Linked DNA regions of Arabidopsis thaliana. The protein of the gene in region 2 purifies or fractionates together with the protein of the main gene of each other region. This does not show direct contact. Each region holds a gene or a part of one and is shown on either strand. Other genes may lie near its edges.

Region 1 (4,547 bases), on a different chromosome or scaffold from region 2:
CCATGATCTTCGTCTCCATGGTTGATGAGATGTAAATCAGAGGTGGAGTGAAATTCCTCAGCAGTGGCTCTTAAATGCGGATCAATTGGAACTTTTCTAATCGTTTTCGATATATTTAACCTGTGCTGAAGAAGTTTATAACAAAACTTAAACATAGGAAATGACATAATCATTGTCATTGCACAACAAAAGTTAAACATCCTAGCATGAGAACTTATAACATACATTTGCTGTAACAATAAATAATGTCAAAACTTTTGCTTTTTTTTCTTTCCTTTTGTGTTTATAAAACAGCTAAGAGACAATGTATGCACGCAGTGCAAAATGGGATCTTAGAAACAGAAATACTTAGAATTGGAAACCGAAACTTACAGTTCCAAACACGTCACTCACGTCAACTGATGCGAATTCACATGAGAGGGCAGGAAAGCTACAAGAAATAAGTCAAAACCAAACATCAATTTATGAAGACACCGCCACTATTGTAGAGAGATTGAAACACAAACAGACAAAAGAAAAGAACAATGGCATGTTGGCATTGTTTATTATAACCAATACTAACACATGAATTCCATTTACCTGATGTTAAAATCAATGTTTAAGAAGTCCCCATCAGAGCTTTTGTCAACTATTACAGATGTGCTAGTGTTAATAGCCAAATAACTACTCAGCTCCTGAAAGTTAAATAATCAACCAAAATCATTGGATATACGGTATTTTTCACTTACACAGAGGAAGAAGCAAAAGATACAAGAATCAGAAAATATGAGATTGTGAAGAAGAAGAAGAAGAAAACAGGGCAGAGATTAGTTTACTACCATTCCAAACAAAAACAACATAGCAAGGGCAGCTACAATGGATAATCCAGCACCAGAGAGAGATGCTTCAGTCAAATCTCTTGGGATTTTCCTGAAGAAACAAATGGAACTCAAATTACTCTCAGCTCTAACTCCAGACAACACAAACACACAGTTCACAGAGTAATTATCCGTAATCCGATGCACAGTTCATCATCAAGATGAAAAACGAGAAGACAGAACCAATTTCGAATTATCAAAAAGGCAAAATCAAACACATACAGTCGAAAATGTATAGAAAGGTACAAACTTTTGCAAGTGCGTCAAAAACCATTATCGAGAGAATTATCATTGGAATTGTTACACGAAAGAGGGTTCCCACCTGTAGAAATCAACGGACTTGATCTTGGAGGTTGAAACCATGGCTGTAACAAAGAAGAAAGGATTCTAACAAAGAAAAAAACAGATCTTGACAATGAGCTCTCTTTCTCTATCTCTGTATCTAGGATTTTGTTCTTAAAGCCGTCGTGATCCCACTTTGCTTAACTATGGGAACTCTACACGAAAAAGCTCAAAAAGACAGATTTTTTTTTGGCAGGAAGAATTCTAATCCTTTAAAGGTTAGATTTTTATTTTGTTCTCTTTCAGGAATCATCATCGTACCATAAAAATTAGAAAATTAGAATATGGAAGTTGTGAAATCTGTCGAATCTAATCTACTACAAATGGAAATGAAGTAATCAGCTTCGATCTTTGACCATCCTTAAAGTTCAAACAATTATTAATTCCTTTAAAAATGATACAATTAGCTTTATCATAAACGACGTAGTTCCTATAGCAATAAGAAATTGTTATAAACGACGACGTTTGCCATAGTTCGCTTATTTCTTTCTTTTTGCGAGAATTCTGAAATCTGAAGGAGAGAGAAACCAATCAGAAGAGAAAACGATGACGAGAACTGTTCTACTGAGAGCTCTGACGAAGAATAAGTTCGTCGCCTCTAATGCTCCTCGATCTATATCCATTTCCATCACCAGTCTCTCTAGATGCGTATGATCTTTTATCTCCTACCCATTTTCCTTCAGTTCGATCTTTTGTTTTTGCTGGAATCGATCATTCATTTTCGTCGTGACCAAATTCGATTTTTTCATATTAAAAATGAATCGGAAGTGGTAAAGGAGCATTCTTTGTGGTGGTGATTTCAATTTTATCATTCTACTTGGTTTGAAAATTTTCAATTTGTGAAGCTTCTATATATATATATATATTGAGATAATCATTTTGTTGTTGTTATGCTGAGAAATTCACAATAACACTTTTGTGTTGTGTACATTTTTGTTGTTGTATATAGATTAGCACTCTGATTCTAGCAGAACATGAGAGTGGTACAATCAAACCTCAGACAGTGAGTACAGTAGTTGCAGCTAATTCATTAGGTGAGAGCTCTTCAATTTCTTTGTTATTGGCTGGTTCTGGTTCTTCTCTTCAAGAAGCTGCTTCTCAAGCTGCCTCTTGTCATCCTTCTGTTTCCGAGGTAAGCTACAACATTCTCCCTTCTCTTCATTTGCTTTCTTTTGGTTTTGTGGTCTCAGTGTTGGTACTTTTTCTGTAGGTACTTGTTGCTGATTCTGATAAATTTGAGTACTCTTTAGCTGAGCCTTGGGCTAAATTGGTTGACTTTGTTCGGCAACAAGGAGATTACTCACACATTCTTGCTTCCTCTAGTTCATTTGGCAAGAATATATTACCCCGTGTCGCTGCTCTTTTAGATGTTTCTCCTATTACTGATGTTGTCAAAATCTTAGGATCTGACCAGTTTATCAGGTACATTCCAACTCTCTCTCGTTCTCGTTGAACTGTGAACTGAAACCAAGATTTTTATCTGTGTCAGGCCTATTTATGCGGGAAACGCTTTGTGTACAGTTCGTTATACTGGTGCGGGTCCTTGTATGTTGACTATTAGATCTACATCTTTTCCTGTCACCCCGATTACAGCAAACTCAGAGTCAAAGAAAGCTACTGTCTCTCAGATTGATCTCTCAAATTTTGAAGACGGTCCGTTTAGTGTTTCTCTTATGTATTCGTGTTTTCGTCGGTGGTTCTTTTTTGTGAATGGTTTTGCTATTCTTCACTGCAGACTCTGTCAGCAAATCTAGATATGTGGGACGTTCAACTCAGGATACAGAACGGCCTGATCTTGGAAGTGCACGTGTTGTGATCACTGGTGGAAGGGCGTTGAAGAGTGTTGAGAATTTTAAAATGATCGAAAAGCTTGCAGAAAAACTTGGTGGAGCAGGTTAGTTATACATGCTTATCCTAATCACCAGTGAGTGTGGAGAAATTGTTTTATCTCTCAAGTGAATGTGCTTCGAAATGTACGTGTATAACTGTTTCATTTATACAGTGGGCGCTACTCGTGCTGCTGTTGATGCTGGATATGTTCCTAATGATCTTCAGGTAAGATTTGGTGGATCTTCGCTTGATTATTCCTTCCATTTTACGGCTTTAAAACTCAAATAAGAGTTTGTTTGTTTGCATCTTTAGGTGGGGCAAACAGGTAAAATAGTAGCACCAGAGCTATACATGGCATTTGGTGTTTCAGGAGCCATTCAACACTTAGCTGGAATTAAGGATTCTAAGGTGATTGTTGCGGTTAATAAAGACGCCGATGCACCTATTTTCCAGGTAACAAACACACTTGACACGGTTCTTCTCTGTCAATTTAAGTTAGGACCAAAGTATTCTAAAAAACGTTTGGCTATGAAACTGTAGGTAGCTGATTATGGACTCGTTGGAGATCTTTTCGAGGTGATACCGGAGTTGCTGGAGAAGCTTCCAGAAAAGAAATGAGACCCCGAGAGACCGAAACTCGTCTCTGTTTATCATCTCTTAAGCTCTCTGTATTTTGAGGTGCAGACCATAGTAAGTAGTGTATATAGCAAAACTGTAATAAAAAACGGTCTGGAGAATCTTTGTCATAAGCTTTAAGGTTAAGCTCTCACGTTTCTAACATTCCAACGAGTCTGACAAACAAAAGCAAAGTGTTTAACTCTCAATAAGAATTCGATTTTCTATACATTTTACTTGTCAATCAATCATAGTAACAATTTTACATCAAAGAATCAGAAGAATAAAAAATAATAATAACAGTTAAAACTTAGAGAGTAAAATAAAAGAATCATCAAGCAATAAAGTTAGATAACATGGATAAAGGAACTACACAAAGTCCTCTCTTCTTCAATTCTGCAGAGAATTCTTCATTCATAATTTCTTTTATCTTTGATCCTGTTTCTGTTATGCATCCAATTTCCTATAAATTCCCGGAAAAAAAAAGAACTTGTTGTTAGTACTGGAAAATCGAATTTAGTTTTTTCTGGAAAATATTAGTTTTCATGCAAGAAATGTTTATTTTTTTGTTGGATAAAGGGTTTCTTATTACCTCGGATGTAACATTGTCCATGGTTTTTCCATATCTTGTATTATCATTAGCATGGTCCAAGACACTAAAAATCTATTAAAAAAAAGAAAAAAATGTTAGAAAAATTAACAAAAACAACAAAACCAATTCTACAAATTAAGATACACTCATATATATCTAACCTTGGTTTTATTAGAAGGAGAAGAAGCAGTGTCTTCTTCATCTTCTTCTTCTTCTTCTCCTTTTTGTAGTTCTTCTTCTTCTTCTTCTTTGTGTTGATGAATGATTCGTCGCTTTTTAGGGTTTGTATTAATGTTATTAGCCTTTCGACG
Region 2 (4,102 bases):
GCAGCTGATCACAAACGATAAGTTCTTAAGTATGGAGCATAGGGTACGGGCAAACAGAGATGGACCGCGGATTTCAGTTGCTTGCTTCGTTAGCTCGGGAGTGTTTCCAAATTCCACTGTTTATGGACCGATAAAAGAGCTTCTTTCTGATGAAAACCCTGCAAAGTACAGAGACATCACTATACCAGAATACACTGTAGGATACCTAGCAAGCATCTTCGATGGAAAATCGCATTTGTCTAAGTTCCGGATATGAAGAAATTACTTGTATGGCTTAGTTAAAAACAGATATGTGTGTTTTGCTGCTCTCTTCTCGCTCGAGAGGACATCAACTATTTTGTTAATAAGAAAGAATTTTTTACAGTGAAGACATTGAATTACTGAATAACAAGATCCACACTTGATTTATTTATTTACTTCCACTTGATGCCTGAAACAGCAACGTAGATAAGAAGAAAGAAGTGTGTAGCAGAATGGGAAAAAGACAAATGTTTCTTCCTTCAAACAACATGAGCTTCATTTTTAAGTTTATCTATCAACTCATCCACCGAAGAAACCATAACCCCAGATTTCCTCTTTGGAGGCTCCGTGACTTCCAAGATCTCTATGTCGGATTTAATGTCTACTTTCAGATCTTGCACCGTCATTTTCTTTATAGGCTTTGATTTTGCCTTCATTATGTTAGGGAGTGATGCATATCTTGGTTGGTTCAGCCTCAAATCAGTTCTGCATTGTAACATCAAGAGCTGTTACAAACAAAACAAGAGTTGTTGCACCTTTCTATTAAAGCTTAATTGCTAGTTTGCTTAATAATTTGAGTGATCACAAAAAAAGTTCCACAAAGAATGCAGTGAACAAATTGACATATGCAGGTTAGTTGATGCATATATATAAACCTCAACTCGAGAGAGATCATGACACAATCATCTAAGAATCTAGAACTTACGTTATCACAGCGGGTAAGTCTACATTAAGAGTCTCAAGACCTCCATCCACTTCTCTATCCACGGTTGCAACATTCTTATCTTTATCCAACACAACCTACTAAACAACAATGAGCAGAGCACATAAAAAACTACTCACAACTTGGAGAGCAGAGACAAAAGATAACATATGATTGTAGTCGAGGGAACTACTCTGTTACCTTCGATGCAAACGTTGCTTGTGGCCAACCAAGTAAAGCTGCAACCATCTGTCCTGTTTGATTGCAATCATCATCTATCGCCTACAGAAAAAAAATAACGTTATAAATCAGTAACCTTCACATCAAACCTCATCAAAACATTATGCAAACTCAACATTATTCAAGACATTTTAAGACAGTTTTCAAGAATTTACAAAGATCAATGTTCATCATCCTAAACAATCCACAACACACGAGTCAAAACACGAATCTTTTGCATTCTAAAACCTGAAAAACCTCAACTTTAGCTAAGATTCAGTACACTAAAACAAGATCTAGAGATTTGACGCATACACAACCAAAGTTCAAAACTTGACAAGCAAATCAGAGCCAAACATACCTGTTTCCCTAAGAAAATCAATCCAGGATTCTCAACATCAGCTAAACTCTTCAAGATCTTAGCAATCGTCAAAGGAAGAAAAATAGAATTGGTCTCAACATGGATTCCTCGATCAGCACCCATAGCTAAACCAGTACGAAGTGTATCCACACATTGTGAAGGTCCAATACTCACTGCAATAACCTCTTTAGCAAAACCAGCTTCTTTGATTCGAAGCGCTTCCTCAAGCGCGATCTCACAAAATGGATTCATTGACATCTTCACATTTTGGGTTTCTACACCAGTCTGATTCAACGATAAAGGAATCAAATTTAACGGTGATTCAATGGTTACAGAGAGATTTAGAGATGGGTTATGCGTGTACCTTATCGGGTTTGACTCGGATCTTGACGGCGTAGTCGACGACACGTTTAACGGCGACGAGAATCTTCATTGGCCGGGAACAGCAGAACAAATGAAGCAGTAAGCAATTTTGATTTCTGGATCTAAAGGATGGTGATGATGACTCATCAAAAAGAAATGGCATGGTATTCGGTTTAATCCGGTTTAGATGTCTCGGGTTTCAGTTTTTCCTTTTGCTTCTGTAAAAGGCTGGTTTAGGCCGAAAAAAATAATTGAAAAAATGGGTCATACAATACAACATACCATAATAGGTCTTAGTGGATCAGAGTCCATTACTTCAACAACACTAGTAAAGTCTGATTTAGTACAAAGAGACTTACCAAGTTTGTTAAATCCTTAAAAATCATGGATGGTATTTTTCGTTTTGGCATTTGAATGTTCTATCCAAATCAAGATGAATTTATATGATGTTTGCTTTAACACAACAAAAAACATCAGATAGATGTTTTCAAGGAGATTATGGTTTCTTTGTAATTTGGATATCATTGATTATATGAGGAGGAGATTTTGACGTAGAAGTGTGAAGCCCTCCATGAGTTTTATGTTTAAAAGAAATAATTTTAAGTTTTTCAAACTTGTCCATAATTTCTCTGTCACACATAATACAACTCAACTTTTTTGACTTCTAAATCTAAACACGTCTATATTCTCTCCTACCTCACCGACCAAATAATTTTAAAAATCCATCTCAAAAATATTTGAAAATGAAATAATAGAAATCAAATGTAGAAAGGAACAAGAAAATAAAACAAATAAGCAAAGCGGCTTATTAGGGTTCAAAATAAAGTGGCAATTTAGAGGAACTTCTAGAACGTCTACTGCTCCCAAAAGAGAAGAAAGATCTCTTCACTTTGGAATTACTAACATTGCCACTACTACTGCTACATCCTCCTCCGTCTCCAACCACCAGAACTTCGCGGTTTTTCCGAATCGCCTCTTGAACCGCCAAGTAAAGCTGTCTATCCGCCGATGAATCCATTGAGATTGATCTTCTAATGGGCTGAATACTACCGAACTGTTCGTCTTTACCTCTTCTTATGTCGATGCATTCGTCTCCCATACTCGTCATCTTGTGAAGCTTTCGGAATTTTCTTGGAAGCCCTCCGCGGTCAAGCTTCTTCGGAGATGGACTGATCGAATTTTGGGTGTTTTCGTTCAGTAGATAACCTGAATTTGACCTTTCTTGTCCCGTAAGTAACCTTCCGTGTCTTGGACTATCTCTGTCACTACCGATGCTACTGCCCAGCTCAATGACCACATACTCGTTCTCACCTCTTAACATGACCAGATTCTCGGGAGAAGTGCTCGGCGCAGAAACCCGATCCGGAGGAAAACTTGTGTCACAAGAAACCCTAGTTCTACACAAAGGACAATTGGCGTTGTTCTGAAGCCACACATCGATACAGTCGATATGAAACAAATGAGAACAATTTGGGATAATCCTCAGCTTCTCCTCATCTTGAAACTCACTCAAACAAACAGAGCATTCTTGAGATCTCTTCTCTTCTTCTTCTTCTCCTTCTCCTGTAAAAACGCCGTCGTTTTGGTCGTATCTCTTCTTGAACTTAAAGATTGGGATTGCTCTAATGACGGATTCATCAAGACCGCGGCTTCTAAGCTCTGGAGAGTAAACCATTAAAGGATCTTGGTCGTTGCGTCGCCTTCGAGATAACGAGAATCGACCAAGAATGTCGATTCGGTGCCAGTTGAGACAACATTTGATAACAAAAACATAATAGCTTACAAGTAAAAATGCTGTGGCTAAGATTCCGATCACCGCGACGGCTAAGATCGGAAAACTCGTCCCCGTAGAGCTCGCACGGTGGAAAATAGGTGGCGGCGGAGGAGGAGGAAAGCTCAGATCCCGGAGAGGATTGCGACGGTTTGATAGATCCATTATCTGACTTATAAGAAGAATCTCATCCTCTAATGGAGAACTAAAGAGTAAACTTTGAAAGTTCTTGAAGAAAGAAGATTGGTATAGAAGAAAAACAGAGGAGAGAGGGATTGAGTAAAATGAAAGTTCGGTGAGATTTCTTGGGCTCTTTATATGATTATATTAATATTTTTCTTGATCGGTGTGACTCGTTTACTACAAGAATTCTTTTATATCAAGATTTAAAAGTAGAATTGAATATACAAGTTAAATTTGATTGGTGGGAAAATTGAAAATTTGT

Evidence for each region.
Region 1: the proteins of ETFBETA (region 2) and ETFALPHA fractionate together in Arabidopsis thaliana (co-fractionation; one large-scale study listed by BioGRID). This does not show direct contact.

What each region holds. Positions count from the first base shown.
Region 1 is NC_003070.9:18,877,138-18,881,684, reverse strand, and holds ETFALPHA (electron transfer flavoprotein alpha), read left to right. Parts: upstream 1-1,672; 5' UTR 1,673-1,745; coding exon 1,746-1,847; exon of another isoform or gene 1,848-2,148; coding exon 2,149-2,331; intron 2,332-2,409; coding exon 2,410-2,621; intron 2,622-2,688; coding exon 2,689-2,852; intron 2,853-2,934; coding exon 2,935-3,093; intron 3,094-3,201; coding exon 3,202-3,254; intron 3,255-3,341; coding exon 3,342-3,482; intron 3,483-3,569; coding exon 3,570-3,647; 3' UTR 3,648-3,873; downstream 3,874-4,547. Other genes in the region: AT1G50950 (protein disulfide-isomerase 5-like protein (DUF1692)), read right to left, coding at 1-125, 373-430, 580-674, 819-909, 1,180-1,220; AT1G50930 (Serine/Threonine-kinase), read right to left, coding at 3,979-4,107, 4,237-4,308, 4,398-4,547. UniProt on the Arabidopsis thaliana protein: The electron transfer flavoprotein serves as a specific electron acceptor for several dehydrogenases, including five acyl-CoA dehydrogenases, glutaryl-CoA and sarcosine dehydrogenase.
Region 2 is NC_003076.8:17,451,510-17,455,611, reverse strand, and holds ETFBETA (electron transfer flavoprotein beta), read right to left. Parts: upstream 2,096-4,102; 5' UTR 2,050-2,095; coding exon 1,888-2,049; intron 1,809-1,887; coding exon 1,524-1,808; intron 1,226-1,523; coding exon 1,145-1,225; intron 1,042-1,144; coding exon 947-1,041; intron 747-946; coding exon of another isoform or gene 740-746; exon of another isoform or gene 727-739; coding exon 501-726; downstream 1-500. Other genes in the region: AT5G43440 (2-oxoglutarate (2OG) and Fe(II)-dependent oxygenase superfamily protein), read left to right, coding at 5-256; AT5G43420 (RING/U-box superfamily protein), read right to left, coding at 2,695-3,822. UniProt on the Arabidopsis thaliana protein: The electron transfer flavoprotein serves as a specific electron acceptor for several dehydrogenases, including five acyl-CoA dehydrogenases, glutaryl-CoA and sarcosine dehydrogenase.